2 linked regions of the Pelodiscus sinensis genome follow. The protein of the gene in region 1 interacts with the protein of each later gene in a biochemical or structural test. Links are inferred from orthologs where the notes say so. Each region holds a gene or a part of one and is shown in the gene's direction. Other genes may lie near its edges. The genes, in order: CDC27 and ANAPC4.

Evidence for each region.
Region 2: the proteins of CDC27 (region 1) and ANAPC4 form a complex in vitro, tested with the Homo sapiens proteins (2 studies listed by BioGRID). The link is inferred for Pelodiscus sinensis from reciprocal best matches to the Homo sapiens genes CDC27 and ANAPC4.

The regions. Positions count from the first base shown.
Region 1 is NC_134739.1:6,828,488-6,845,032, forward strand, and holds the start of CDC27 (cell division cycle protein 27 homolog), read left to right. Parts: upstream 1-10,528; 5' UTR 10,529-10,686; coding exon 10,687-10,713; intron 10,714-16,545. UniProt on the Homo sapiens protein: Component of the anaphase promoting complex/cyclosome (APC/C), a cell cycle-regulated E3 ubiquitin ligase that controls progression through mitosis and the G1 phase of the cell cycle.
Region 2 is NC_134715.1:101,831,466-101,847,804, reverse strand, and holds the start of ANAPC4 (anaphase-promoting complex subunit 4), read left to right. Parts: upstream 1-9,545; 5' UTR 9,546-9,688; coding exon 9,689-9,796; intron 9,797-13,591; coding exon 13,592-13,697; intron 13,698-16,339. Other genes in the region: rRNA N(6)-adenosine-methyltransferase ZCCHC4, read left to right, coding at 62-183, 466-541, 2,482-2,533, 2,899-3,043, 6,414-6,540. UniProt on the Homo sapiens protein: Component of the anaphase promoting complex/cyclosome (APC/C), a cell cycle-regulated E3 ubiquitin ligase that controls progression through mitosis and the G1 phase of the cell cycle.

The DNA.
Region 1 (16,545 bases):
CCACTGACTTTGATCTTTATCTACTCAGGTTTAGCATCCTTTCTCCTGATACTTTATGTATAAAAGAGGTAGATGGGTGGGTTACAGCGCATCTTTCTCTCCCCCAACCCCCTTCCCTTCTCCTATTTATTTTGAGTTTTCTTATCCCGTAGTCATAACTCCGGTCATCTGAAGAAGTGGGCTGTACCCAAGAAAGCTCATGATACCATCTACATGTTTTGTTAGTCTATAAAGTGCTACCAGACCATTTGCTTGCTAGTTTATTTTGGAATATTGAATACTGTATACGGATTGGAATACATTTCGCAGAGTTGAAAGGAAAGGGTTTCAGTATAAAAGGACATTTCCCAGTCCAAAGCAAGAAGGAAAATATTTTACAAAATATAAAGGGCTGGGAGTGTTTGAAAGAAGCAATGACAAATATCTTCAATCTAAAGTGCATATAAAGATACTACTTCATCGAGCTTGATAAGCTCTCAAAAAGAAAACGGGTGCAAAAATGACTCATTGAAGATTAAAAACAACAACAACATAGTGAGAAATGTTAATATGCTTTTTCTATATAGCTTTGAAAGTTCAAAAAAGACATCTCCACATCTGTATCCTCAAAAATGAGCCGTGGATATCCGCACTGACATCCACAGACATGGATACCGGTGGATATAAAGTGGATATCCTCAGATTTGAAGGGCTTTAGATAAAATATTTGTATCCGCATTCATATCTGCAAAAATGAGCTCAAGATATCCGCATCCACATCCGCAGATGTGGACACCCGTGGTTATAAAACAGATATCTGCAGATTTGCAGGGCTCTATGAATTAGTACTATCCTCAGATGTTCTCACAGCCTTCGCCTTCATCATCTCACATAAATTTGTGGGCAGGCTGCTCACAGTGATAGAAGTGGTTGGGAAAGAAACTCATGCTCTGTTTAAAGCTAGATGTGGCTCCGTACCCTGTTTGAGGTGGTACAAATAGGAGCCCATTCACATAACAGCTGTCAGCTCAGCTGGCAAGAGCCTACTTTCCGAAGCCTAGGGACTTTCCACTCCCCAAACCATCACACCCTGTATTCAGGCAGGCTGGGGTTCAGCCCAGAGAAGGAAGAATTCAGCCTTCACCCACTGGAGCAGAGGATGTGGAATGAGGGCTGTGATCAGGTGTACATACCCTAGTTCAATCTAGCTTTGCCAAGTAGCAGCAGAGTGACATAAACAAGACTGATTAGGGTCAATGCTGCTATTTAGGACATGTGGCAGCAGTGAAATTGTCAAGAATCATTCAGTTTCACTCTGCCGATGAAAAGCGTTAACTCCTTGGCAAGGCACTGACAGCAGGGAACTGGATTAGGATCCTGGCCTTTTACAGAGCAGCTAATATAGCAACCACATGGCAAACCCCCTTTTCCCTGTCCCTGTGCCCTGCCCAGCAGGGAGGAAAATCTCTTCTCTCCCCATTCTCTCCCCGTATTTAACCAGCCATCTTCAGGAATCACAGTTTTCTGCCGTTGCTGTTGAATGGGCTGAGAGTAATTTCACTGCCACCTGCAAGAAACAAAAATTAAGATGAATGACCTGCCAGGTCAAATTGAAAGAAGCAGCTTCAATTTAAAAGCAGGCGCTCACTGTGAACAGATGAAAACCAGCAAAATGGAGAGGCTGCCTGGTAATGTTCAGACTGGCCATTGGCTATCACAGGGGACATTTACACTCATAGAACCATAGAGCTGGAAGAGACCTCAGGGGGTCATCAAGTCCAGCCCCCCTGCCCAAGGCGGGACACTGTTCCTGGAATGGGCAGAAAGTGGGCAGCTGAGTGGGTGAGAGCTACATATCTGGATTGGTTGGAGGATTCCCAAGGGGAAGCTAAGGATGTCTGGGTGCGTTGTAGGTGCTGAGATAGCTGGGGGTTTGGACAATGTCCCTCCAGCTCTGGGACAGAACCCAACCAGGACTGTTTCCCATAGGCGACAGACATTCAACATCATTCCCGTATAACGTCTGTTTATCAGCCTATCTGAAATAAGTTGGTGGCTACCTAACTACCTCGCGATATGCCGAGCATCACCATCATAGAGATGATGAATACAGCCGGTCCCCAAGTTACGAACGGGTTATGGACCAAACACTTGGCCGTAACTCGAAATGTTCATAAGTTGGACCCCGTTGAGTTACATTGCGACTGCGCTGTTCATAAGCGGGGGTCGCGTTCGGAACACGGGGACTGCCTTTACGACCGCTTAATGGGAGGTTTGGTCATAAATGCGAATGGTCGTAAATCGATCATTTGTAACTCGGGAACCGGCTGTAGTTCATAATGAGCCCTGTATTTGACTAATTTCACTTCTGGTCACAAAATAGCCAGGAGAAGATGGCAATTTGCTCTAATCCATTCCTTATTCGACAGCTTTCCACAGCTCCCCTTGGCTGCAAACAGCAACCCAGAACCAATGGAATCCGTGAAGCTCCGTGGCTGCGGCTCCGGTAAATAAACACACCAGAACGGCCAGTTAGCAGCTTTCTCAAAGTGGTTTCACAGACCACTTTGAGAAACACTGATATAGAGGCAATAAGGGTGTGTCTACACTGTACCTCTAGTTCAAAATAAGCTACGCAATTTGAGCTATGCAAATTGCATCGCTTATTTCAAGTTAATTTCAAAATAGCTTATTTTGTAATTTGGTGCTGTCTACACAGCATCAGATTTCAAAATAATCCACTATTCCGAAATGTCCCTTACTCCTCGTGGAAGGAGGTTTACAGGGACATTGGAATAGCGAGCCCATTATATTTCGAAATAACGGGCACGCTGTTAAGATACGGGATAGCTATAATAGCACCGCATGTAGACGTAGCCTGAGATATTACTCTCTATCCCTTTCTAATGATTCCTAACATTCTGTGTGCTTTTTTGACTGCTGCTGCACATTGAGTGTTTTTTTTCAGAGCGCTATCCACAATGACTCCAAGATTTCTCTCTTCAGTAGTAACAGCTAATTTAGTCCCCTTTATTTTACACATGTAGTTGGAATTGTGTTTTCCAAAATCCATTACTTTGCATTTATCAACATTAAAATTCATCAGCCATTTTGTGGACTAGTTACCTCATTTTGTGAGATCCTTTCGAAGCTCTTCACAGGCTGATTTGGACTTAACAGTTTTCAGCCTTTTTGTATCATCTGCAAAATTTGCCATCTCACTCTTTATCCCTTTCACCAGATAATTTATAAATAAGTTGAATGGAATTGGTCCCAGTATAGACCCTTGTGGGATACCACTAGTTACCCCTCTCCATTCTGAAATCGGATCATTTATTTCTACCCTTTTTTCATGTCTTTTAACTAGTTATCAATCCATGAGAGACTTCCCACTTATCCCGTGATACCTTACTACTGTTGATTTAGGGGATCAAGGGGCATCTGCTGTAAACTTCACCTGGTTAGTCTTTGGGAAAGTCCTGAAGGACAAAAGAGCACTGCAATGTGAAACTAAAGTGAAAATGTCAGTTGCCAAATGTTTGTACAGCTGCCCCCAGTCCCAGGTCCCGGCCGCCCATTCCACCACCTGTCCCCACAACTAATGATGTGGAGGCTCCCAGAGGGTGGGTGGTCGTAAGGCCAGGAGCATTTATAGAAAGCATCCGTCAACATCAGCCAGCGCTCCTCATGCAGAATTGCACTTTGCAGCTGGAGCGGAGGAGGCTATATAAATCATCACTCGATCCGAAGCGAGTCCCAGGACAATAGTTGATGCTGTGCCCTTTTATAGCTCGGCTGCTTTGCTCATGTCCTGGGGGCTCTGAGGAGAGGTAAAAATAGGTTTCCACTCTAAGGAGAGCCTGTGGCAGTATCTCTTTCTGACGAAGATAAGAAAGCATTTCATACCAAAGATGGTTTGGATGCTGGGAGACTCAACCCCATTCCCTGTGGAGTGGAAGAGGCAGATGGAGCCAGCTGTCATTCTGAGGAGTCACTCGCGCTTGGTTTGGGCATAAGACTGTGAGATGAAGCTGGAGAAATTAACCTACATCTCGCGCCTTTAGACCCACATCCCGCCCTTCTCTCAGATGTAGCAGCAGAGGAAAAAGGCTTCTTGGGTCTGTGTATCTGTGTACCACACAGTTGGAAGCAATGCCCAGTTGTTTGGGGGCCCAGAGGAAAGGAGTTGAGGAGTCTCTTTCCACCTGCCAGTAAAAATGCCACCATAATATGAGTATCTTCATGGCAGTTGCAGCAGAGAGCCTAAGGACCAAAGAGACCATCCCCTCCTGTTTACCAGTCAGGATGCTCAGCGCAAGCCCTTAGTGAAATGATTGCAAATCTGCAGAGTCACATAGATGTAAATGAGTTTGCATAAACTGCTTCCAGCTGCAGTGAGAGACACGCAAGAAAGAGAAATTCAGACAGATGAAGGGGGAGAGGGAGAAAAGGGGACAAAACCAGGCTTCTACATTTAATTCTCTTCCCCACCTCTCCTCCCAGCATCAGCATTTCACACTTTCTCTCCCGCACTGCCATTCCATTGCCCCCTACCAATGCACTGCAGAGTAATTCCCCTTTCCCCTCCATTCCTGCCACCCCCTCCCCCAAAGGAATTTCAGTGGGGGTTGAAGCTCCCAGAATTTTGCAGGATGATTCCCCACCGAGACAACTTTTGTGATGTTTATTATGAGTTCCCTGGTATTTGGTATTACTCTTCATGTCCCAGTTTCCAGAATCAGAGTGCTGTCCGAGAAGCTGAGCTTTCTTTGGGAAGTTTCTAGCCTTCAGGATTGCAAAGAAAAGCTTGAAAATGAGACCGCTAAATGCTTCAGCACTAGGGATCTAAGGGTACATCTACACAGCAGGGCTAAACTCGAAAAAAGCAATGCATCTTGAGCTATGCAAATCGCGTAGCTGAAGTCGAGATAGCTTATTTCGAATTTGGACATGTCTACACAGCACTTATTTCAAAATAGAGCACTCTTCCTCTGACTTCTCACACGATGAGGTTTACAGAAGTTGGTGTAAGAAGCCTGTTATTTTGAATTTATTTTGAAATAACAGGCTTGCTGTGTAGACGCGCAAAACACTATTTTGGAATAATGGATGTTATTCTGTAATAACACTGCTGTGTAGACGTACTCTTAGGCTATGTCTACACTGTGGCTTTTACCAGCAGAGAGTATTCAAATGAAGTGCTGATTAGCATTTTGTCATGCTTCATTTGCATAATCTATTCAGGCCGGTTTTGTGCAAAAACAAGCAGTGTGGACGTTTCCTATTTGTGCAAAAACCCCTTGTTCTGCAAGCTCCTTATGCCTCTTCAGGAGAGGCATAAGGAGGTTTTGCGCAAAACAGAAGCGGCTGCACTGCTTCTTTTTGCACAAAAACCCCTTGCACAAAAAGAAACAGCAGAAAATATGCTAATGATATTGCAACTTATGCTAATGAGTTCTTCATTAGCATATTTTCTGCCACAAAAACTCACAGTGTAAATGTAGCTTAAGTGTCAGCTTATCTTTACGGTAACATGCCAGCTTCCAACCCTGCTCTGAATCAGAGCTCGCTGTGTGGGGAGATCGCCAATACCCTGTAAATTGGACCGGCAGCCAGAGCTAGTGCATACTGGAAACTGGCTAATACTAATAGCAACATCGGTTCATGGCTGCTGGCCCCTCTCCTGTGAAGCCAGTTGTGCTGCAGGCTCAGCAGTATAAACTTTATACTTCAGACCCCACAGCATGTGTAGGTGCTAGGATGTTTAGCAGTTACACAGTTACATATTTAACTGTTCTTTTACATTCCTATTCATCACTAAAAGACAAAAATAACCTTAAAATCTCATTGTTTTTAAGACTGTCTCTTGAGTTTTGAGTTTGGCATTATTGCAAATGTAAAATCAATATCAGCATTTGATTTCGTCAGATTGACAGTGTTTGCCCCCAGAAAACGAAATGTGTTCTGTTGTATTCACTATTAATATTTAGGCAATAGGCTAAGGGAACAGGTAAAGCTAAACAAGACAGCTGTGTCTAGACTGGCAAGTTTTTCCGCAAAATCATCTGTTTTTGCGGAAAAACTTGTCAGCTGTCTACACTGACGTCTCATGTAAGATCGTCAGTGTTCTTGCGGAAATACTGTGCTGCTCCCATTCGGGCAAAAGCCCTCTTGCGCAAATCATTTGCACAAGAGGGCCAGTGTAAACAGCACAGTACTGTTTTCCACAAAAAAGCCCCGATCGCGAAAATGGCGATTGGGGCTTTTTTACGGAAAATCGTGCCTAGATTGGCCACGGACGCTTTTCCGCAAAAAGTGCTTTTCCGTTAAAAGCTTTTCCGTTAAAAGCATTTTCAGAATATCATGCCAGTGTAGATGTAGCCGACCAGTTATTGGAGAGAGAAAATCCAAGCTGAACCTGTGAACAGTGCCCTGGTGTTTTCTCATTGCTGAGCACTTGCATCTGCAGCCTTAATAATACTCTTTTAATGCAGTGCTCTTTGTGGGCAACAGAAAAAGAATCTGCCGCTGAAATGCTACCTAAAGAGTCATTCCTGACATGCAAGAAACAATTTTTTAGCACTTCAGCATTGACAGTCCTCCCCACCTCTTCCTAAGGGTTTGTCTACATAGGGAAATTAGTCCAGATTAAGGTGACTCTAATCTGGTCCACACTGGGAATAATTCCAGAACAGCTCTACTAGGATAGCTTCAGGGGGTAGCCTAGTCTGTACAGGATAAACTTAAAAAACAACAAATAGTCTGGTAGCACATTATAGACAAACAAAACATGTAGATGGTATCATGAGCTTTCATGGGCATGGCCCACTTCTTCAGATAACCAGAGTTTTGTTAAACGGCTGGTTATTTGGGTAATTGAAGGATCATTAGATCACCATGAAAACATTGCCAGGTACTCCACTTAAAAGCTGGGGGGAAGGAAGTGTGGACTGCTGGGATCTGCATTTAGATTACTGCTGTTAAACTTCTCATAAATGAGAAAAAGGGGTAAACAATGACTACTTCACAACTGACTGCGAAGAGTTACAAAGGGATCTCACAAAACTGGGTGATTGGGCAACACAAAGGCAGATGGAATTCAGTGTTGATAAGTGCAAATTAATGCACATAAGAAAATATAATTCTAACCATACATATAAAAATGATGGGGTCTAAAATAGCTGTTACCACTCAAGAAAGAGATCTTGGCATCCTTGAAAACATCTGCTCAGTGTGCAGTGGCAGTTTGAAAACTAAAAAGCTAACCAAATATTGGGAATCGTTAGGAAAAGGAATAGATAAGAAGACAAAATATCATATTGCCTGTGTATAAAATCATTGTATGCCCACATCTTGAATGCAGATCTGGTCACCCCCTCTAAAAAAAAGATATATTGGATTTGGAAAAGGTACAGAAAGGGCAACAGAAATGATTAGGGGTAAGGAACAGAGATTAACAAGACTGCGATTTTTCATCTTGGAAAAGAAATGATTAAAGCGTAGGGGGATATGTTGGAGGTCTTGAAAACTATGAAAGCTATAGAAAAATAGAATAAGGATCTGTTATTCATTTCTGCACTAACATAACACAAGAAGATGACCCAATTAAATCTATGGGCAGCCGATGTAAAACTATAACAGGGTTCCAATAAGAACGAAATAAGTTCAAGGCGGATAGGTCCATCAATGGCTACTAGCCAGACTGAGCAGGGATGATATCCCTAGTTTCTGTTTGCCAGAAGCTAGGAATGGGCGACAGGGAATGGCTCATGATTGCCTCTTCTATTTATTCCTCTTGACATACCTGACATTGGCCAATGTTGGTAGACAGGACACTGGGCTAGAAAGACCTTTGGTCCTACCCAGTATGACCATTCTGATCCTCTTATATCGAGCTGAAATTTATCTCCCCCTTTTGTAACCCACTAGATTCCACTTCCCTTCCAGAGCTGAGAGACAGCCCACAAGTTCTGACAGGGTTTCTCTATCCCCGGATTTAGTAACTAAGTAAGAATAGACATTAACATTTTAAGGCTAAATAGTGTCCCTTAAGTGACGTGCCATAAGATGTCAGAATATGTTAGAGCTGAGTGGGTCTAATATTTATTTAATTTTCTTGTATATTGAAATTAGATTCAGTGCTCCTGCTAACTGCTAAGTTGTCAGCCAAAAAAGCAGAGTTTTCCAGTGCCTTAGTAGCCCTGGGACAGAGATGATATGGTGGGGAGGGTGGAAGGAATTGGTTCCTCCCCCATTTGGTACTTGGTTTGTACCGAGCATGCTCAGTAACACTGCTGAAAGCCGCTGTCCTCAGTTTTCCTCCCCATGCTCTCATTACCCTCCATCACGGCATGCACAGGTCGCCACTCCCCCACCAAAATCTGAAATGGCGCCCATTGCGATTTCCCTGCGAAGACAAGTTTGCACTAATTGCAAAAACTCCTCTCTCTGCTGGGCTGTCCCTGTGCTGCTGGGGGAGTGAGGGTTGCAGCCCTGGGGCCTGCCAGTTGGAGGGCAGCGCCAGGGACATGAGACATTTTCAGACTTTAGGAGTCAGTTATGGAGGAGCTTTCAGTGGCCACCAGAGGACACTGCTGCTGCACGGAAAAGGGTCACTCGGCTGCCAATAGTCCTTAGAAAAAGGGTGGACTGGAGTGGGGCTGCATACAAGGGGAAAGAGAGAGACAAGGGAGAAGGAGAGCAGGGATTGGAGAGGAAGAGGAGGGGAGGAAAGGAAAAGAGGGGAAAGGAGAGAAAGAAAAGGGCAAGGTAAGGTGAGTAGGGAAAAAAGAAGGAATAGAGAAGGAGGGGAAGAAGAATGAAATAGAGAAGAAGGAGGAGGAAAGAGGAAGAAGAGGAGGAGGGGACTGGGAGAGTGAAAGGGAAGAAGAAGAGGAGGAAGAGAGGAGGAGGGAAGGGGAAGAGAAGAGTGAAAGGGAAGGCGAGGAAGAGAGAAGGTAAGGGGAGGAGGAAGATGAAGGGGAGGGCGAGGAAGAGAGGAGGAAGGTGAGGAGGAGGGAAGAGGAAGACAGAAGGGAAGGGAGCGGGAGGAGGAAGGGGGAAGAGGAGGAAGATGAAGGGGGAGGAGAAAAATGGGAAGGGGAAGAAAAGGGGAGAAGAAGGAAAGGGAAGAGAGAGGGGAGGGGAAGGAGGAAGATGAGGAGGAAGATGAAGAGGGAAGGGGAAGAAGGAGGAAGGGAAGGAGGAAGATGAGGGGGAGAAGGAAGCTGAAGAGGAGGGAAGGGGAAGACAGAGGAAGAGAGAGGGATGGGAAGAGGAGGAGGCAGATGAAGACGGAAGGGGAGGAAGGCGGAAGGGGAGAGGAAGAGAGAGGGGAAGGTGCAGGAGGAAGATGAAGAGGGTGAGGAAGAGAGGAGGAAGGGGGAGGAGGAAGATAAAGGGAAGGGGGAGAGAGGGGCAGGGGAAGAAGAAGGTAGGAGGAGGGGAAGGAGGAAGATGAAGAGGAGGAAGGGGAAGGGGGAAGAGGAAGAGAGAGGAGGAAGGAAGAGAGAAGGGAAGGAGGGAGGAGGGAAGAGGAGGAGGAAGATGAAGAGGGAAGGGGAGGAAGGGAAGGAGAAAGATGAGGGGGGAGGGGGAAGGGGAAGAGAGAGGAGGAGGGAAGGGTTAGGGGAAGAGAGAGAGGAAGGTGCAGGAGGAAGATGAAGAGAGGAGGAAGGGGGAGGAGGAAGATAAAGGGAAGGGGAAGAGGGGGAAGGGGAAGAAGAAGGTGGAAGGAGGAAGGAGGAAGATGAACAGGAGGAAGGGGAAGGGGAAGAGAGAGGAGGAGGGAAGGGGAGGGGAAGTTGCAGGAGGAAGATGAAGAGAGGAGGAGGGAGAGGAGGAAGATAAGGGGAGAGTGGGGAAGGGGAAGGGGAAGAAGAAGATAGGAGGAGGGGAAGGAGGAAGATGAAGAGGAGGAAGGGGAAGAGGAAGGGGTAAGAGAGAGGAGGAGGGAAGGGGAGGGGAAGTTGCAGGAGGAAGATGAAGAGAGGAGGAGGGGGAGGAGGAAGATGAAGGGGAAGAAGAAGGTAGGAGGAAGGGGAAGGAGGAAGATGAAGAGAGGAGGAGGGGAAGAGGAAGATAAAGGGAAGGGGAAGGGGAAGAAGAAGAGGAGGAAGGGGAAGGGGGAAGAGAGAGGAGGAGGGAAGGGGAGGGGAAGTTGCAGGAGGAAGATGAAGGGAAGGGGAAGAAGAAGGGGAGGGAGCGGGAGGAGGAGGGAAGAGGAGGGGATGGGGAAGGGGGCGATGCGGGATTTGACGGGGCGGAGCCTGGGAGACGCAGACAGGCAGGGCTGGGCAGACCACGCCCCCCGCGCTCCGCCTGCCTGCGCCGCCCAGCCCAGCTCCTGGCGCGGGGAGCGCTCGGCTCTCTCCGTCAGCTCGGGCCTCTCGGGCGCTGCTCGGGTGTTTCCGTCTCCGTTCGGCGCTCTCCCTCCCCGCGCCTGTGGCGCGCTCCGCCCTCGGCTGTTTCCGCCCCCGCTCGGCTATTTCCGGCTCCCCTCGGCTGTTTCCGCCCCCGCTCGGCTATTTCCGGCTCCCCTCGGGTGTTCCCGTCCCCGCTCGGAGGCAGTCGGCGCCTGGCCGGCCTCCTTCCTTCCCTCCCGGGTGCCTGCCCCGGTAACGGTCGCTGCGAGTTTAAATGAGCAGGGGCCGGGCCGCGCCGCGCCGCCGCCAGGACTCGCCCCGCCGCGGGCGCTGAGGGGACAGGATGACGGTGCTGCAGGAGCCCGTGCAGGTACCGAGCCGCAGCCGCCCCGAGGCCCCGGCCTAGCGGGCCCGGCCTCTCCCGAGCCAGCCCGGCCTGGCGGGGCCCCCCCCGCCCGCCCGGCCGCAGGGGCCCCTCAGCGCCCGCCTCAGACGTGGGGCCCCGAGGCCCCGCCCCTGGAGCGGGGACCAGGCCCCGCACGGCCCGCACCGCACTGACCCGGCAGCCCCTCCCCCTGCCGGCCCGCCTCCTCCAGACCCCCCCCCCCCCCGGCCAGGCTCCCCTCGAATCTCCCAGAGGGGCCCGCCACTGGCTGGTCTCCCTCCCCCCACCTCGGCCCTGGTATCCCTGCGCTCCGTCCTGCCACAGCCCTGGGGGCCGATCGGGACCTCTCGCTTGGGCGAGGGGCTGGACACGATCCCCGCCCCAGCGGCAGAGCCTCATGTGCCTAGCTCGTAAGACAGCCGATGGAGACAGGGAGGGGGGCACGAGGGGGCAGGGAGGGGGGCACGAGGGCAGGTGGGACGAGGGGGCAGGGAGGGGGGCACGAGGGGGGCACGAGGGCAGGGGGGACGAGGGGGCAGGGAGGGGGCACGAGGGCAGGTGGGACGAGGGGGCAGGGAGGGGGCAGGGGGGACGAGGGGGCAGGGAGGGGGGCACGAGGGCAGGTGGGACGAGGGGGCAGGGAGGGGGCACGAGGGCAGGTGGGACGAGGGGGCAGGGAGGGGGGCACGAGGGCAGGTGGGACGAGGGGGCAGGGAGGGGGCACGAGGGCAGGTGGGACGAGGGGGCAGGGAGGGGGCAGGTGGGACGAGGGGGCAGGGAGGGGGCACGAGGGCAGGTGGGACGAGGGGGCAGGGAGGGGGCAGGGGGGACGAGGGGGCAGGGAGGGGGCACGAGGGCAGGGGGGACGAGGGGGCAGGGAGGGGGCACGAGGGCAGGGGGGACGAGGGGGCAGGGAGGGGGCACGAGGACAGGTGGGACGAGGGGGCAGGGAGGGGGGCACGAGGACAGGTGGGACGAGGGGGCAGGGAGGGGGCACGAGGGCAGGTGGGACGAGGGGGCAGGGAGGGGGGCACGAGGGCAGGTGGGACGAGGGGGCAGGGAGGGGGCACGAGGGCAGGGGGGACGAGGGGGCACGAGGATAGGTGGGACGAGGGGGCAGGGAGGGGGCACGAGGACAGGTGGGAAGAGGGGGCAGGGAGGGGGGCACGAGGACAGGTGGGACGAGGGGGCAGGGAGGGGGCACGGGGGCAGGTGGGACGAGGGGGCAGGGAGGGGGCACGAGGGCAGGTGGGACGAGGGGGCAGGGAGGGGGCACGAGGACAGGTGGGACGAGGGGGCAGGGAGGGGGGCACGAGGACAGGTGGGACGAGGGGGCAGGGAGGGGGGCACGAGGACAGGTGGGACGAGGCGGTAGGGAGGGGGGTACGAGGGCAGGTGGGACGAGGGGGCAGGGAGGGGGCACGAGGGCAGGTGGGACGAGGGGGCAGGGAGGGGGGCACGAGAGCAGGTGGGACGAGGGGGCAGGGAGGGGGGCATGAGGAAACAATGAGTTGATACTAGCCAGCATAATAGTGGCTAGTGCACGTCCAAGAGGGATTCTTCCCATCTCCACTGTTCCAGCCCAACTCCTTATGGAACCCCTCGATTTCTCCTTTCTGGTTTCATTCACCCTCCATGGCTGCTGTTTTTGTATTTAAATACCCACAATGTGCTTGTCACTGTGGATTACACACAAGTGAAGGGCATTCATTGTCCCAAGGAGCATGCAGTCTAAGGCCAGGTCTTCACTTGCTGCTGGATATTGATCTTCTGGTGTTAGATTTAGTGGGTGTAGGTAAGACGCCGTAAATCGAATGCCGAGGGTGGCTCCATGTGGCACTTGTACTCCTGGCTGTTGTGGAGAAGGGAAGCCGATGAGAGCGTTGGCACCGGTCTTCACAGAGGGAGGCCAACAAGAGCAGAGCTCAGCTTAAGGTAAGCAGACTCCAGTGACATATTTTACATAGCTGGAGTTGCGTACCTTAACCTGGCCTTCCAGGTCTGGTGTAGACTTGGTCTAAAAGAGACCAAGTCTCGCCTGAAAGACCCAAAGGAGGAAATAACTTTAGGTTCTTTTTTTCTCCCCCTTTTTTAAAGTCTAATTTTTTTTCCAGGATATTTTCCCTTTTTATTTTAGTCTCTTTTCAGAAGTGATACCATCTCAGAAGTTATCCGTTCTCTCTTTCCTATATCAACTTTGCCTTAGCTATCCTATCTATGTTCCCTCCCACTTCAATTTTCCCATGCTATCTCCTCTCCTTTCCCCTCCACCAGACTTCCAATCTTTTTCAGGTTTCTGTCTTTAGAAATAAATTGGGACATAGGGCTTCAAAGGTCTTGCATGCAAAATAAATTTTTTCTTGGTAACTTGTAAACTCTCCCAGCTTCTACACGGCCAAGATGCTTAGCATGCTGGACAGTTTTTCATAATGACAATAGTGAGCACAACAAAAGTATCTAATTTCTCTTGTTTCCTCTTCTCTCTAAAAAGATAGAAGGATGTAGCTTTTTGTGGGATACATCATCTACCCCACTGATTTAGCCTACACAACAAGGTGGAAGCAGTGGTGGCACTATTATTGTAGATGAGTTCATCATCTTTATGCCAAATTCTATAGGTCTGCTCTGAACCACATTAGACAACGCATTGCTGAAAACACTTCTGGCCATCTGATGCCCTTTCTCCAGTAATACTCTCTCAAGTTAGCATCTCGAGCTGGGCAGGTGGTAGCAGCAGTTGGAAATTCTAGCAAAAAGTGGCTAGTGTAGGCTTCAGTATGGAAAGAAAGTAAATGCCCGCTTACATAGATATTGTTTGCTTTCATTCACTAACATTTTTACAAATACATGCAATCAGCATCTTTTCTGCTGTCCTGATTATGGCTAACCAGGTGGGAAATATTTGATATTCTGAAATTTCCTTGGCAAAGATATGGAGTATTTTATTTGAGGTATGTTGTTTGATGTGTAAAATGGACACTTGTAATGTTATCTTCTCTAGCTTGGAAGTTCTGTTGATAACACTCTGCTTTCATTATCACACAAACCTACGGCTTGTCTACACTAGCAAATTACTGTGCTGTTGCTTTCTCTCTCAGGGGTGTGAAAATACCACTCTCTCCCTCCCAGCACAGCAAATTGCAGCGCTGTAAAGCGCCAGTGTAAACGAGCTCCCAGTACAGGGAGCCCAAGTGTAGACCAAGACCCTAGCTGGCTTCGGTGTTCTTCATGAAATACCAGCTCTCTCTTATTTTGCTCTCCAAAGAAGCTAATGTTAGTGTGACTTCAATGCACAATCATTAGGTCTACTTTTGTAGGACTCATGATATGCTTCTATCTCAACCCCAGTGGGGCAGCAGTAATAGTGGTTGTATTGTAGGCACAGCTTAAGTGACAAGCTTATATGACAAGGTGGCAAAAACATGAGTTCTGTGTAAGTTACAGCCTCCGCCATTGCTTTCATTAGCTGGGTTGCAGTGGTGAGAATTGCAGATCCTAAATGTGCCATTTTCAATGAAGCCTTTGTTTAGGCCTAGTTTCTCTCTTCTCCTTTGATGACCTCATAGAAATCTACCTTGGTCATCTGCAGTCACTTAAAAGTAAACAGCAGTGGTGCAGTGATTCTGGCAGTTGTAACAAATGCAGTAAAACCACAGGATTATGATGCATTCTGACACTAATGTAATAAGCCTATGACATTCAGGCTGTCTTGCTGTATGGATTTAAATGAAGTTGTTGGGTTATGTGTTCAGTGCTTGGCTGGACTCCTGGTACTTTTTCGTTCCCCTGTTATCTGAGCATTCTCCTTGCACATGTTCTGTAAGAGCAGGCATCACTTCTGACTCATCAACATTATAAGTGATGTGCGTATGTGTAAAAACGCATTTTTTCCCATGTACCTTTGTATAGCACATACTGATGGTCATTCAAGAGATCTTTCACTCACCTCATCATCTATCCCTTCACCACCTTGCAAAAGCATTTGGAAAACTTACTTTTACAATCCTGAGGAGCATTGTAGTGGTTTCATTTATATAAATAGCATTTTAAAAGCGTCTAAGATGACAAATGCTTGCCTTGAAAAGCTTCCATTTTAAGGACTAGATCTTGACACCTCTGCTTGCAGTGAGTAAAAAGTGGCAGAATCTTGTCCTAATTAGACAATGTATCCTTTGATATCTCCTAATGAAGTCCAAACTTGAAAGATGAATTAATCCAGGTTTCTCAAGCTTCACTGCATTGCAACCCCCTTCTGACAACAAAGTTATTAAAATAACCCGGGAGGTGGGGCTGGAGAGGGGGACAGAATGAGGAAGGAGAAAGGCAGCAGGGCTCAGGCTTGGGTTTGATGATGGGCCATAGCCTGAGCCTCAGCACCCCCAGATCCAGCAAGTCTAATGCTTGTCCTGGTGACCCTATTAAAATGGGTTTGCAACCCACTTTTGGGCTCCTGACCCACTGTTTGAGAGCTGCTGATTATTAAGATATATATTTCATGTGTTAGCCTATAACTAGGGATGTTAAAAATAGTGTAAGAGGTAGGGATGTGGTAGTGTAAACCAGTGTTTCTCAACCTTTTTTAATAAGTACCCCTTTTCCAAAAAAAAAAGTACTCCCAGTACCTACAGTTTTCAGACACGCATTTTTTTTCCTACCATTGCAACACATTTGTTTAAACAATTTAATCGTAGCCGGGCGGGCAATGAAATTTTTGGGTGTAAAAAGTTCAAAAATTATAAAGCTGTAAATTTCAGTTGTGTTGACGTACCCCCCAGACATCTTTCAAGTATCCCTAAAGGGACTCTCATACCACTGGTTGAGGAAAAAACTGGTATAAACTGTTAACACGTGAACCTGGGCTTATGGGTTAACCTTCACGGTTGCACACAGTTTCCCGTCCCCCTGCGCTGCAGGGGTTCCAGTCAGCTTCCCAGGAGCCGCCTTCCACTCAGCATGTAAACATGCAACTGCTGAAAGTTTCAGCACATTTACCTGAATACACACATTTCAACATCCCTAGTAATAGGGTAATTGTGTAACCGCTGAAAATCTCAGTGGTTACCCTGTTGCCCACACTGCGGGCTCTGCGGCAGTGAAGCCTCCTCCCTGGGAGCAGAACCCACTGCCCTTGCTCATCCGGCTCCCGGGGGAGGAGGCTTCACTGACTGTAACCAACACTGTTAACCAATAAGCATTCACTTATTGGTTGAACAGTTAGTCGTTTACACTCAAATATTCCTACCTAGAACAGATGCATTTTAATTTTCATCTCTGAAAATCTTTAGTTTCACTAATACAGCTCTTAACTATTTCCTTGGATGTTTCAATACCTTGTGTTTTCGTCATATTTGAATAGCTGGTATTGACTGCCATGATCAGGTCTAATGATTAAGGCCTTAAAATTCAGTCTGGTCAATTTCACAGTTATGGGCTTTTAAAAATCAGAAATTTCATTATTTTGAATATTTAAATCTGAAACTTCACAGTGCTGTAATTGTAGGGGTGTTGACCCAAACAGGAGTTGGGGAGGGCTACTGTAGGGGTGGGCTGTGGTACTGTTACCCTTACTTCTGCACTGTTGCCATCAGAGCTGGGTCCTTGGTCAGCAGTCACAACTTTCCAGCCTCCCAGCTCTGAAGACAGTGTAAAAGTAAGGGTGGTGGTACTGCATCCTCCCTAAAATAACCTTACAACCCCTCCTGCAATTCTCTTTTGAGTCAGGACCTCCAATTCGAGAAACAACTTTCAGAGGGGAGAGACCAAATTTCATGGTCCATGATGCATTTTGCAGGGCTATGAATTTGTTAGGGCCCTACT
Region 2 (16,339 bases), on another chromosome or scaffold:
TAGGACTCGGTAAGAAATGTAAAGATATTTAATTTGTTCGTCCTGTGCTTTTATTCTCTAGGTAGACTATGATAATCATGCTCTTTATAAACATGGAAGGACAGGCCGTAAACAGTCTCCTGTTCGCATATTCACCAACATTTCCCCCAGCATGATTGTACTTCCTGTGGAAGAGGGTTACAGGTGAGGTGTAAAAGGATATGCTTGCAGTGTGTGTGTGTGTGTGTGTGTGTGTGTGTGTGTGTATATATATATATATATATATATATATATATATATATATATGCGCTCAAGTGACTGCATCCACTATTTTTTTTAAGAAAAACCTAGTTGATTATTCCAGAGCTCAAAATATAGCAAACTAAATTTGCATCCATAATGTAACTTTATTTGTTGAATTGAAAATCCACTCATAAAGTTCTTTGAGCAAACAGCAGGCCAATGCTTTTGTAACTGCTTTTTCAGGTTTTGCTCTGTGTGTCAGCGATATGTTAGTTCAGGGAACCAACATTGTGATATCTGCAATTCATGTACATCAAAAGTAAGTTCCTCTTTCTGGAATGGTATTTTAGCAATTGTAAAGTGATGTTTGTGTTGTTACAAATCTCTTCTGCTATTAATATTAAAAGTGTATCTTTTGTGGCAGAGAGCTCAATATGGGAGTCTTTTGATTGATTTAAACCAGTGTTTCCCAAACTAAAAAAATGCCACGCTAAGGCCCAGTTGCTGAGAGGGGAGCAGAGCAGGGCTGGCTGGGAGGAGGTGTGTGTGTGGAGGGGGGGGGGGCCCAGAACCAGCTGCAGGGAAGCAGGGTTAGGGGTCACGGGGCTGTCCAGCAGAGATCTGGGTGGGCGGCCGAAGCAGGGTTAGGGGTAGCAGGGCTGTCCCATGGAGATCTGGGCAGGTGGGCGGCAAAAGCAGGGTTGGGGGTAGCGGGGCTGTCGGGCGGAGATCTGGGCGGGTGGGCAGGCAGTGGAAGCAGGGTTAGAGGTAGTGGGGCTGTCCGGCAGAGATCAAGGAGGGCGGCGCGGCAGAACCAGGGCTGAACTGGGTGCGGGGGGGGGGCGCTGGCCGGGGGAGATTGGGAGGAGGAGGATTGGAGAACCACCCTCTGGAAGCAGGGCTGGATGGGGGCAGCGGGCTGGGTGGGAGTGGGGCACTGGAAGGGGGAGATGGGGAGGACGGGAGAACCAGCTGCCGGAAGTAGGGCTAGATGGAGGCAGCGGGGCTGGTGGGGGGGTCGTCGGGGGAGCGGGGCTGACTGGGGCAGATCGGTGGGGGGTGGGGGTGAACTGGCCACCAGAAGCAGGGCTGGACAGGGGCAGTAGGGCTGGACTGGGGAGATTGTGGGGGTGGGGAGAGGAGAGGGGGAGCGGGTACATGCCACAGGAGTGAGTCTGGCCCCGTGGATTCCATTTCTCTCCCCCCCCCCCCCCCCTCCCCCCCCCCAAATACCCTCCCTCGAGTAGTTGTAGTTGTGAACTGCCTGGCTGGTAGACACTAACACAGCGTTAGCACATCTACCAGCCAGGCAGTTCGCAGCTACGGACTGATGCACCTAATTATAATAAAACTTACCTAATTATATAAAATGTCCAGTATTTTCTGTCCAGTATTTTCTCAATTTGTTTCCCAGACAGAAGCCTCAAATACCAGACTATGGGGGACAAAACTGGACACCTTGCAACCATATCCTTCCTTGTACCCTCCCTCCTAGCCAAATACCCTACCCCCCAATCTGCTCCTGCAGTGCCCATGCAGTGCCAGGTCCCCCAAGACCTGGCCCAGGCTGGGCAGAGGATGCAGCCAGGTGAAACACTGAAAATTTAGTGTTTCATCTTACATCTTTCAAAATTCCATCTTACAGTCCATTTATCCAATCCATATTCCCTTAACTTGCTGGTAAGAATATTGTGGGTGACTGTATCAAAAGCTTTGCTAACGCTGGCACTGGGAGCTTTAGGAGGACCAGAAACAACTTAGTTGAATATTCATCAGTTGCTTAATTAATATGCAGATGACTGTTACCAGTCCTCCAAAAGCTGGTGAATGGATTTACTGGTCCCTGTGTCAAAAAGTTTGGGAACCCCTGATTTAAACTATGGATCAGTCCCTGTAGAATTTTCTGTGTCCATTACCTCATTGATTTCGGCTGGACAAAGGATACCTGAAGTCTATACATCTGCCCATCAACAGCATGTTGTCATGTTCCATTTTTTTCTCTGCTTGGAAAGGTGGAAAAATATGCTGCCCTTTATGGCACCTCAGTTCTGCTAACAGCTGCCAAAAGAAATCATGGATCCTGAGCATCTGTGTATGCTACTTGTGCACATACATATTCCATATATTTGAAATATTTCAATGTTGTATGCCAGGAAGTTGAGGAGCACAGTACAGTTTAAAAATGATACTGCATATAGTGAAAATATTTTATTAGTAACATTTTAAAATATTTGTTTAAAATTACCAACTTTTTTATAGGATGGAAGACGATGGAATCATTGCTTTCTTTGCAAAAAATGCGTAAAGCCTTGTAAGTACAGAACAATATTTTTCAAGTAATAGAAGTTGACTTACTATATATTTCTGTCCAAAAAAGTCAAAATAAAAAATAGAAATAAAAGTAATAAACTATAAGACATTCATGATTCAGTGCAAAAGTACCCAGTTTCCACAAAATTCAGCTTGTGTGGATGGATTTCACCTGCATGAAAATGTCTTTGTTGCTGAATCAAGGCACAGTTAATTCCTTCAATTAGTTATAGAAAAACTTAAAATAGTTTGATTCTTGCTTCTTGTAGAATCATGATTAAATCTTTATAAGATTTCTCAGCTGAATTCTCTAAACATATTGATGCATCTTTTCAAAATCATAAGTTCCCATTACTTACTTTTCAGCTTGGATTCACTGCAACACTTGCAATCGCTGTGCTCTGCCAGGTCACACTTGTGACAGAGCTAAAACTAGTTGCTTTATTTGTGATGAAGCAGGTCACAAACGCAGCACCTGCCCTAATCTCTCTGTGGCTGAAAGAGCTTGCCAGTAAGTATAACACTGCATATGAATATTTATTTGAAAAACCTCTCAGTTGTGGGATATGATTATTATTTCATGAGAATGATTTGATAGAAGTAGAGAGAAAGTTGTTCAGTAAATTCAGATTGTGATAATCAATAAGTTGAAGTTTTTATTTGAGCTAAGGGTGCAATTTCCAGCTCAAGGAGACACATTTGTGCTAACTTTTATTGAATTAGTACACTAAAACTGTGTCCATTGGAGATGTTAGGCAAGTATTTGGGACAGTTAGCTGCATTCTGCACTAGCTTGATCAGAGTTAGCGTATGCCTCCAAGCTGGGCATCGCATCTCCAGTTCAAAGTGTGGACACGACCTTCGAAGAAACAGGAGCTCCTTGACTTGTGCAGGATCTGGGAGCTCAGCACCCTCCTCCACTCCGATAGAGGCTGTTGCCTCTGTATCAGAGGCAGCAGCACGGGGGACCTGATTTTTAAACTTTCTCCCTTCATGGACCAGCTCCTGCCTGGAGTGGCAAAGGGCTCCCCAGGAATGGGGCCAGAGCATACTGGCTGCTGGCGCCACCCCCAGGGACTACAGAATAGTCAAGTAACTGAAAAGAATTCATGAGGTTAATCGACTATTCAGTTAACCAATATTTAACATCCCTAATGTGGAACACACTAATAAAAACAATTTTAAATAGGTGTCTGGTAGTTTGTGGGAGTGTTTTGAAAAAGGTCTTTTTGAAAAAGATCTGCACACTGAGCATATTTCAGACACATGCCCCTCTCCAAGATAGTACATTAATATGCCCATCATTGTCCATCATTGAAGGGTCTCTCAGACCGGACGACTTTCTGAATCTGAAAACGTAAAGGTAACTATTGAAAGAGAAGGGGAAAGATTTGAGTTTGTCAACAGAATTAACTAACCCAAGGTAGAACGAACACTAAATATCAATAATAAAAGATACAGCTATGAGGATATTGTTTCAGCTCTCTGTCATGGGTGTTAAGGAGGAACTGAGCAGCAGTTGGATCTATGCTGCTTTTATGCTCTTGAGCTATGTCTAGACTACTAGCCTCTTTTGAAAGAGGCTTTCGAAAAAGCCTCTTTTGAAAGAGTGTCTAGATTGCAACCACTTCTTTAGAAAAAGCGAGTTGCTTTTTTGTAAGAGAGCACCCAGGCAGTCTGGATGCTTTCTTTCGAAAAAGACCTGTTAGCATTCAAGAACACCTTTTTTCAAAAGAGCACTTAAGAAAAAAGGCGTTCTTCCTCATAAGATGAGGTTTACCACGGTCGAAAAAATGCCACGTTCTTTTGATTTTTAATTTAGAAAGAACGTAGCACCAGTCTAGATGCAGGGGAAGTTTTTTTTTTTTTTTTTTTTTTAAAAAGGCCACTCTTTTCAAAAAAAATAAAAAATCCTGTAGTCTAGACACACTCTTGGGTGAGGGATTCTAACTGTCCGGTGGTCATCAGTATACAGAATGAGATTTTTGTGTACATGGGAGTTCATATTCCTCTAGATACGCATTTTCCACATGGATGCCACTTCAAGAACCACAATTACTATGAGGTTTTTTGAAGCTAAATTCATTCATTTTTGTCTGAAGCAGAAGAATCAGGATGACCAAAATAACGTACTCTAGTTGAGTAAGGCATGTGTATCTCTTGGCATATGAGAGTGTGTTTTAAGCATTCTTTTTCATAGATGAGATGGCAGAAATTGTGGTTCTGTGGCCTCTGTGATAGAGCCAAAAACTATACTCGCATTTGTGTCCATAACACATTGCAAGCTCATATTTGATTTGCTCTTACAGGTTGCACCTCTGTAAACCGGGACTCTGTGGTCTGGCAACCACAGATGTTCCAGGATCAGGGAGTCCTAATGTGCTTTGGTGGGGGAGAAGCCTGGCATGTGGCCCGGCTGGGCTCTGCCTGGGGGAGCTGGGAAGCCCCGTGGGGTGGCAAGGCATAGGGTCGACAGCAAGGGAGCCAGAAATGGCCTCCCCTGGTCCTGCAAAATCCTTCATCTGGGACTAGTCAGGTCCCGAGAGTGCTGGACCAAGGATGTCCAACCTGTATCGCTGCTAGGCATAGCCCACCATTTCTGTTTTCCAAAAATTTTAATTGTGGAGTAATACATAGCCAAAATGTAGAGAGAGCTTTATTCATATTTATCCCTACCATATTTCTCAAAGTAGTAAAATCTGCATGAAAATGACTGACCTTACTTTTACATGAAACTTTGTTTGCTTCCAGTTTTGGTGAGATCAAATATATATATCTTTCTGGACTATTGTAGTTCATGCAGACCGTAGTTTACTACTGTATTGTCAATATGTTTCTCCTGATATAAATTATTGGATTAACATGGGCTTAAACACCTGCAAATGTATGTTGTGGTTAGTACAAGACTCTATAGTTATTAATTGATAACCTATTACATAGATAGCATTACCATAACAGATGGAAAAAAATACTTGTTAATTATTTAGGTTTTAAATCCTGTGTTCCATACAGATTCTTATGTTTGTACAATTTCTTCAATAGTAAATTGGGCAGTGCAATTGTTGAACATGTAATGTCAACAATCACCATGTTTTATATTTGAGGTGATCAGATGTATACTTTTAAAAGTTTTAAAAGCATTTGAGTCTAAAATTACAATACTGAGTAAAGATACATCTATAGGTGTAAAATAAATTTAACCCCATGTCAATGTTGAAGTAAAAGTAGATTGTAATATCTCTGCAGAGATAATATTACAATCTTGCAAGTCGAATTTCAAAGGGTATGTCTACACTACCCTCCTAGTTCGAACTAGGAGGGTAATGTATGCATACTGCACTTGCTAATGAAGCCCGGGATTTGAATTTCCCGGGCTTCATTAGCATAAGCGGGGAGCCGCCATTTTTAAATCCCCGCTGCTTCGAACCCCGTGCAGCGCGGCTACACGGGGCTCGAACTAGGTAGTTTGGACTAGGGTGCCTATTCCGAACTACCGGTACACCTCGTTTCACGAGGAGTAACGGTAGTTCGGCATAGGACCCTAGTCCGAACTACCTAGTTCGAGCCCCGTGTAGCCGCGCTACATGGGGTTCGAAGCAGCGGGGATTTAAAAATGGCGGCTCCCCGCTTATGCTAATGAAGCCCGGGAAATTCAAATCCCAGGCTTCATTAGCAAGTGCGGTATGCCTACATTACCCCGCTAGTTCGAACTAGCGGGGTAGTGTAGACATACCCAAAGAAATTTACTTTAAGAGCTGTTGTTCTGACTATATTTGAGATTTTAGTCATAGACAAGTCCTTGTATTTGTGTTTACTACAATGTACAATTCACTATAGCTCTGATAACATGTAATATGTTTGTCTATTCCCTTGTTTTCCAGAGCTGACAGAAAGCGGAGGCTAAAGAAGAACAAGATAAAAATGGATAATGTTAAAAGACCATCTGTGAAGCATGCTACGTTCCCACGGAAAAAAATAAAGAAAAAGAAAAACACTCTTGCTTGTTAATACTCAAGTTACCTAAAACTGTGAATGATTTTACAGCCAATTTTTGCTTCCATTTGCTGTAAATGTTAATATGATATTTTAGATAAAGCCGGTTTGAATTAAAAATGTCTGCTTCTTGTAATATTACCTCAGAACTTTGGCAGTAGGAGAAAACTGCTATCCAAGCTGCTCTTTCCATTTGTGAATATGTTCAAGTGTGATATCTAAAACAGCTTATATACTAGTCTAAACCATGACTGCACTAAAAGACAAAATGGAATAATATTGTACAGGACTTGTAAATTATTGGGACAAGGTTTTTAATAGCTTTTAATTAACTTGATATTGACCTGCATTTTTCTCCTTGATATTGACCTGCATTTCCACCTGGCTCTTTTGCTTTCCAAACACCATCTACCATGCCCATGTAATGGATGGCAAGTCAGCCTTTTGTTCTTTATCTACTGGTATGTTGGTTGTTTCGTGGCAGTAATGGAAACCCGTGTATTATTTCTTCTAGATAACTAGATACATGTAGTTTTTAAACTTTTATCCACAGTTGAGACATTATACAATGCAGAGACAACAAAAATGCAGAGGCTGTTCCCCTCCAACTATCCAGTATTTTTAGCATATCAGTGGTAAACTGGACAGTTTATAGATTTAAGGTCAGAAGGGACCATTGCAATCATTTTGTTTGACCTCACTATTACTGGCCATCCAACTTCTCCAAAATAATTCCTAGACAAGTGCCCCTTGTTATGTGTCAAGTATGGGATTTTTTTAATAATTAAACTTAACTGTATAATTTCATTTACTAGTGAGGAGCAGTCTGCAGTTCAAAGAAACGCATATAAATTATTTTTGATGCTGCGGTAAACATGAATATAGAAAATTCAAAGGAAATGAGCAATGCAATGGAATTAAACTTTCTATAACTATATTGGTTCCATTCAAGTAATTGTTCTCTACCTAGTAGGGATATTAGATACACCAAATATTATCAGCTACACGGTTATTCAGTAGTCCCCGGCAGTGGCGCCAAGAGCCAGTGTGCTCCTAGACCCACTTCCGGGGAGACCCCTGTCACCCTTCAATGCTGCATCTGGTGGCAGGCAGGAGCCAGTCCACAAGGACAGCCAATTAAAAACCAGCTTCTGCTTGCCACCCTGTGCTGCTGCCTCTGATAGTGACAGCAGCAGCCCCTGTCCATGGGGGCCCCAAGTTCCCTGTGGACAGAGGCTGCGCCGGCATTCCACAGAGCAGCCTCTGTCTGCAGTGAGTTTAGGTCTGCCATGGACAGAGGCTGCTCCACAGCAGCATGCTCTGCCCACGGTGAGCCTGGGTCCACCACTCCTCTGCGCTGCTGCCTTTGGGGGCAGGTGGACCAGCTCCTCCCTGAGTGCCGCCTCCCCCCCTGCTCCCTCACAGAGGCAGGAGGAAAGGGGGACAGGCAGCACCACAGAGCTCACTTAAAAGCCAGCTTCCCATGTGCAGTGGTTCCCACCTTCTCCCCTACCCCACACACCCTATGCTGTGCCTCTCTATCAGAGGCAGCAGTGCAGGGAGGAGGCCAGCTGCTCCATGGGATCCAGTGCCCATAGGGAGATGGCTTAAAAACCAGCTCTTGTGTCCCCACACCTTTGCTGCCTCTGTCTCAGAGACAGTGGGGGGGAATGTGTGTAGTTGATAGAATTAACTGACAAACCTAGGCTTATTCGTTAATTGTGTAGACGATAGAGATGTAAGCAAGTAGTCAGCTACTCACTTTTCCCACCCCCCCGCAAGGTGGGAAAGGTTCGAGCTTTAATTCGAGCTACCTAGTCTGTGCCGCATGTACCCGTGGGCAGGTAGTTCAAACTATGGGGCATTTAAACATGGCGGCACCCAGGAATGTGCAAATGAAGCCTGGGATATTTAAATCCCGGGCTTCATTTGCAAGTTTGAATGCCTCCATTAGCCACCCTAGTTTGAACTAGGGTGGCAGTGTAGACATACCCTAAGCGAGCACCTGCGGTCACACTCTGATGCATTTGAGCAATATTTCCCAAATTCAAAAGATCTGAGGGTTGGGAAAGAATGGATCCATAGTCCATTTCTTCCTGCCAACAAGGTGTCATCCTTGCCATTGCTGCAAAAGGATCAATTAGTTGATTGAGCTGGCATGTGACAGAGGACTTAAAAGTTTAATTAATTCATCTTCATCTTCCATCCTTCTGGATTAAAACAAAGGATAAATACCCAGAACTCAGCACCCTAGCCCTCAAGGCTTTGCTGCCATTTCCATCTTCATACTTCTGTGAAACACATTTCTCTGGAATGACTGCTACCGAGACCAGACATTGGAATAGGCTTGACGTGAGAAACACACTGGCTGTGTCTAGATGGGCAAGTCTTTCTGCAAAATCATCTGCTTTTGCGGAAAAACGTGTCAGCTGTCTACACGGGCGGCTTGAATTTCCCTGTCAAGTATAAGGCCTCAATTTGGCTAGTGCTCCCAGACTCCTCACCACCCTTCCTCCCCTCCCCCACTGCTGCCCCAGGCTATTGCCTCCAGGCCCTCTACCTTCCACCTCCCTGCAGGCAGGGTAGCCTCAGTCTTCCAAGCTGGTCCGGCAACTATGCAGCTGCAGACTTTCTGGACCTGGAGCTCCAAAAGACCCATAAGCATGCATGGGCTTCACTGTCAGAGCTGACTCCCAGCTACCTTTCCCTTTCCCCCTTAAAGGTACAGAGGGATTTTCGAACAACTACCCAGGCACCTCAACTCACCCTCATTAGTAACCGCCCCTCGCCGCGCCCGGGAAGGCTGGGGCCGGTGTACCGGGACCCCGAGGGGCAGCGCTGTGGAGCTGCAGCATCTCCCTGCTGCACGCGTTGGGCCGCAGAGGGAATTCCGCGGGGCAGTCCCTTGTGTTTCCCGCCACACGTGAGCTGCGGGGCGCGGCGGCGGCGCAGTGACGAGGCGGGGGCCGCCCCGGAAGGCGGGAGAGCCGGGCGGAGCCGCTTCTCGCGGGGCTGTCGCTGTGCTGCGTGCGGCTGGACGGGCTGTGGGCTCCGGGCGCGGAGCGGGCAGCGGGATGGGGCGCGACGTGGGAAGGGCTTAAGGGGGACGGGGAGGTGAGGGAAGGAGCCCGGCCCGAGCCTGCCGGTGCAGGAGCCCCCCGCCATGCCCGCTTTCCGGCAGGTCGGGGAGAAGCAGCTTCCCCAGGAAATCATCTTCATGGCCTGGTCTCCCAAGAGGGACCTCATCGCCCTTGCCAACAAAGTGGGGGAGGTAAGACGGGGCCGGGGTAACGGGGCAGCTGCAGGGCCCGGCTCAGCGAGCTGGAAACGGCGTGTAAGAAAGGCACCTCCTCCGACAGCGCTGCTGCGCTCCGCCGCTGGGGGAGCGGGGTTCCCTGGCTGACCGCCCCTCTTCGCCCGCAGCCCTGCTGCCTGCTCCCTCCTCCAGTAGTGCCTCAGGGTTCGCCAGAGGCGGCTTCGCTCTCCCTGCCCCTGCAGCAGCGCTCTCCCTGCGGCTCCCGGGGAAAGAACTCCGGCCAGCTGGGCAGTGCTGTGGGGAGGCTAGCACTGGGGGAGGCTAGCACTGGGCTCTCTCCACCCTCCCTTGTCATTATTGACAGCCAAACGGGCCTCCTTATTCTACACGCCATCTTCAGCCACAGGAATAGTGCACCATAGCATGTGTGAGGGTTTTTTAAGCCTTCACATGAGAATGACTTAGTATCTTGGGTTTACCGTGTTGGCATTCCCAGTGCTGTACAGCTAAGTTAGCCGAGAATTCTGTTCTTTCATGCTGTCTGCATCTGTGCAGGAAAGACCTTGGTTTGTTGTAGCTGCTTAGTGTGTTGCAAAGGCAGAATTTAGTGGGATAGTGCTGTGAAGAATCTGGCACTGTGCTAGAACATGCTGTATTTTAAACAGTGAGCAGACCTGTGTCACCCTAAAGACTAGCAAATATATCATGAGCTTTTGTGGGTAGATCCCACTTCAGATGAGTTGGAGTGGAAATGACAGAATCCAGAGTATATAAACAGGAAAAGCAGTGTTAATAACGGTAATTGAGTCAGGCTGGATCTGTCCCATTCATAGTCAGTATTCTGTCTATTCCTCAAGATCCATAAATCTGGAAATCCTGGATGTTTCATCATCTCATGCAATAGCACCCTTAAACAGGATAATCTGGCTACATTGACTCTTTCCTCACGCTGCATGCTACCAGCACTCCTATCTATCTTTGAGACACCACTGACTTCCTGAAGAAACTACAGAACATCGGTAATCTTCCTGAAAACACTATCCTGGCCACTATGGGTGTAGAAACTCTTTATATTGGTATTCCATACGAGAACAGACTACAAACTGTCAGGAACACTCTGATGATGCCACAATACACCTGGTGGCTGAGCTATGTGACTTTGTCCTCACCCACAACTGTTTCTGATTTGGGAACAGTTTATACCTTCAAGTCAGTGGCACTGCTGTGGGTACTCGCATGGCCTACAATATGCCAGCATTTTCATGACTGCCTAGAACAATGTTTCCTCAGCTCCCATCCCTTGCCACCTGTCCTCTGTTTATATTACACTGATAACATTTTCATCATATGGACCTTTGGGAAGGAGACCTTTGACGAATTCCACAGGGATTTCAATAATTTCCACCCCACTATCAACTTCAGCCTGGACCAGCCTACACAAGAGATCCACTTTCTTTACACTACAATACAAATAAATGATGTTCACATAAACACCACCCTATACTGGAAACCTACTGACTGCTATTCTTACCTACATTCTTCTAGCTTCCATCCAGGACACATCACACAATCTGTTATCTGCAGCCAAGCCCTAAGGGTACATCTAGACTACATGCCTCTGGCGACAGAGGCATGTAGATTAGGGTACCGGACATAGTAAAATGAAGCGGCGATTTAAATAATCGCCGCTTCATTTTACTATGTCCGGTACCCTAATCTACATGCCTCTGTCGCCAGAGGCATGTAGTCTAGACGTACCCTTAGATACAATCAGATCTGCTCCAATCCCACAGACAAACACCTACAAGATATTTATGAAGCATTTTGAAAATTTAAATACCCACCTTGAGAAGTGAGGAAACGTTGATAGAGCCAGACTAGTACCCGGAAGCCACCTTCTTCAAGACAGGCCCAACAAAGAAAATAACACCACCACTGGACATCATCTATATCCCCTAGCTTAGCACGCCCCAGCATTTCATTGATAATCTTTAATCTGTACTGGAAAATGACCCCTCACAGATCTTGGGAGGTAGGCTGATCCTTACCTGGGGGTGATATAGGTGATAAGACAGTCCCCCTCCCAACCTTAAGTAAATACCAACCGCCATACTCCTCATCACAGATACACTCACCTAGGAACCTACACCTGCAACAAACCCCGTTGCCACCTTTGTGCACATAGGGATACAAGTGACACCATCGCAGGACCTAACCACGTAAGCCACAACATCAGGGGCTCATACAATTGCACATCGTCTAATATAATATATGACATCAAGTGCCATCAATGCCTCTTTGCCATGTATATTGGCCAAAGCAGACAGTCTCTGCCACAACAGATTAATGGACATAAATCCGGGAATGGTAGCACACATAATCCTGTAGGGGAACATATTAACCTCCCTGGACATAAAAGCTCATGATATATTGGTTAGTCTAAGGTGACACAGGACTGTTCATTGTTTTGAAAGTTACAGACTAACACAGATACTTTGCTGCTGTATCTGAGTATCGTTTTCAGTCTTTGATGACTTTGGGGAGCATCCTATTTTCCTAAAGTGCTTTAAAAATTGTTTGCTTTTAATTGTCAGTATTGATTTTCTTCCTGTGTTGTGTTCTCGCACAATTCTGATATTCTTCAGATGTGTTCTGGAAAAGGGAGATTGTTTAAATGTTTAGCCTGTCACCACAAGATTCTGTATTCATCTTGACATTTTTCATGTTCAGATCATTGGGAGGAAAGAGCAAAAAAGCAATAATTGCTGCTGGAGATGGAGTGGGGATATTGTCTCTGTTTTTACTATAAATGTAGTCCTTTGTCCACAATATAATGGTTTTTATATATTGGGCTAAAATACTTTTGTGATAGGAGACATTTTTCCTTACCTTGTCCTTTTTATTTTGCTTAGCAATCTAAGTAAATGGTAATTCCCAGGAGATAGCCTGCTTTTTGTGACTTAACAAGTGTGTAAAATTAATTTATATTTAAAATAATTTTAAAACCAATAAAAGCATTGAAAACTGGTTAGTGATGCAGAAGCTGGAACAACATAATGTAGATCTCAGTTTGTTTCTTGAAGTAATGTAATTCAGAGCTTCTCTTGCCAGTTTGCCATATGCCTTTCCTCATCTTATGGCAGTGCTATCTGCAGATGACTGGTGGGAGGGAGTGTGTGTTCCATCAGAGAAGGGTTTTTTTAATATCTCTGCTCATGCACACGCTCTCTTGCTTTCTCTCTTTTTGTCTGTTTCTGTTTTTCTTAATTCCCTTTCCTTCTCTACAACGTGTTCTTTTTTGTTAAAAAGCTCTTTACGTATCATTGGACCTCTGCGAGGAGGGGAGGAAGATCCACACACTAAGTCTAAGATTTCCCCACTTCCATTTGAAATTACTTAGGTGACCTACAAATGAAAAAAGATTGAAAATCACTGCTTTACACTTCAGTTTCCTCTTGAAGAGCCTTGACTGTGCATGGGAAGATCAACGGCAATGCTTCCACAATACAGATACTATTTGTGGTGGGAAAGCCTCCCTAAATACCATATTATAATTATTATTCCTATTAGTCAGACTGATTGTAGACTTCTCTCTCAGCCTAAAACCTCTTTTCATTGCTTGTAGTAGACAGTGTGCCCAAGAATAATGTATGCGTAAAATGATTGTTTTCTTTATATGAATAGCTTTAGAACTGACTTTCCAAATATGGGTTTTAAGCCTAATAAAAGCATCTTTAGTGGCTGATTTATAAAATATTGTTATAGGGGAAGATGTTAAATTTTCCTACATGTAATCTATCTGCTTTTCAGGTTTTACTTCACCGACTTGCAAACTTTCAACGAGTTTGGAGTTTGCCACCAAATGAAAATACAGGGAAAGAAGTTACAGCCCTCGCTTGGAGACCAGATGGCAAAAGTAATATTAAATACATGATGCTTTTTGCTGCAATAAAAATGGTGTTGGAAACCAATAGATACTTTTAGTAAACACAACATTACCTAACTTGAAAAGAAAATTCCCACTACACAATGTTAAGAAAAGGGTAGCGTAATTTTATTTAGCAAATAAAATAAGTGGGAAAGTTATTCCTCTGATGAATGATGTGATCTATAAAGGATGGCTACTTTTATAGTGACACTGAAGTGACAGGTGACATTTAAAATAAGATTGCAATTATGGGAATATTATTTTTCAGATTGCATGACAATATTCAACTCTTAATAGTGCAGAGATGTTTCATATCAATCATCCATGTGCATATGAGCAGAATCTCTTATTATATTACACATTGGGAATGAATTAGTTCAAAAAATGAATGTACGGTAGTCATATAAGTTCTGATCCAAATGTTTCAGTACTTGAATCAAATAGGGATGTGTTCTTGTGAGAATCTTAGAATTATATTATGTTGCAATAAAATATATTTGTTAAATAAACACTGTGTTTCAAATATATTTTGGCACCAAATTTTCTAAGACTTGTGTTCATGGTTAGCATATTTTTTCTCCCATGAGTAACAGTAAGCTAAGTATGGATCTAGGTTAAATATCATAGAATCATAGATCATAGAATACTAGGACTGGAAGGGACCTCGAGAGGTCATCGAGTCCAGTCCCCTGCCCTCATGGCAGGACCAAATACCCATTGCCCATTGCTTCTTGTTCTGTCCTCAGAGGCCAAGATGAACAAGTTTTCTCCCACCTCCTTATGACACCCTTTTAGATACTTGAAAATTGTTATCATGTCCCCCCTCAATCTTCTCTTTTCTAGACTAAACAAACCCAATTCTTTCAGCCTTCCTTCATAGGTCATGTTCTCTAGACCTTTAATCGTTCTTGTTGCTCTTCTGTGGACTCTCTCCAATTTCTCCACATCTTTCTTGAAATGCAGTGCCCAGAACTGGACACAATACTCCAACTGAGGCCTAACTAGCACAGAGTAGAGCAGAAGAACGACTTCTCGTGTCTTGCTTACAATATACCGGTTAATGCATCCCAGAATCATGTTTGCTTTCTTTGCAACAGCATCACACTGCTGACTCATATTCAGCTTGTGGTCCACTATAACCCCTAGTTATATACAGATCCCTTTCTGCTGTACTCCTTCCTAGAAAGTCGCTTTCCATTCTGTATGTGTGAAACTGATTGTTCCTTCCTAAGTGGAGCACTTTGCATTTGTCTTTATTAAACGTCATCCTGTTTACCTCAGACCATTTCTCCAATTTGTCCAGATCATTTTGAATTATGACCCTATCCTCCAGAGCAGTTGCAACCCTTCTCAGCTTGGTATCATCTGCAAACTTAATAAGTGTACTTTCTATGCCAATATCTAAATCATTGATGAAGATATTGAACAGAGCCGGTCCCAAAACAGACCCCTGCAGATCCCCACTTGTTATACCTTTACACCAGGATTGTGAACCATTAATAACTACTCTCTGAGTATGGTTATCCAGCCTGTTATGCACCCACCTTATAGTAGCTCCATCTAAGTTGTATTTGCCTAGTTTATTGATAAGAATATCATGTGAGACCGTATCAAACGCCTTACTAAGTCTAGGTATACCACATCCACTGCTTCTCCCTTATCCACAAGACTTGTTATCCTATCAAAGAAAGCTAGCAGATTGGTTTGACATGATTTGTTCTTTACAGATCCATGCTGGATGTTCCCTGTCACCATGCTACCTTCCAAGTGTTTACCGATGATTTCCTTAATTACTTGCTCCATTATCTTCCCTGGCACAGAAGTTAAATTAACTGGTCTGTAGTTTCATGGGTTGTTCTTATTTCCCTTTTTATAAATGGGCACTATATTTGCCCCTTTTCAGTCTTCTGGAATCTCTCCTGTCTCCCATGATTTTCCAAAGATGATAGCTAGAGGCTCAGATACCTCCTCTATCAGATCCTTGAGTATTCTAGAATGCATTTCATCAGGCATCTAACTTTTCTAGGTGATTTTTAACTTGTTCTTTTTTTATTTTATCTTTTAAACCTACCCCCTTCCCACTAGCATTCACTATGTTAGGCGTTCCTTCAGACTTCTCGGTGAAGACCGAAACAAAGAAGTCATTAAGCATCTCTGCTATTTCCAAGTTTCCTGTTACTGTTTCTCCCTCCTCACTGACCAGTGGGCCTACCCTGTCCTTGGTCTTCCTCTTGCTTCTAATGTATTTATAAAAAGTCTTCTTGTTTCCCTTTATTCCCTTTATTCCTTGTTTGCCTATATTCATTCTTTGTAATTTGTCCTACTTTCCATTTTTTATAGGACTCCTTTTTTATTTTAGATCATGCAAGATCTCGTGGTTAAGCCAAGGCGGTCTTTTGCCGTATTTTCTATCTTTCCGACACAGCGGAATAGCTTGCTTTTGGGCCCTTAATAATGTCCCTTTGAAAAACTGCCAACTCTCCTCAGCTGTTTTTCCCCTCAGTCTTGATTCCCATGGGACCTTACCTATCAGTTCTCTGAGCTTACCAAAATCCGCCTTCCTGAAATCCATTGTCTCTATTTTGCTGTTCTCCCTTCTACACTTCCTTAGAATTATGAACTCTGTGATT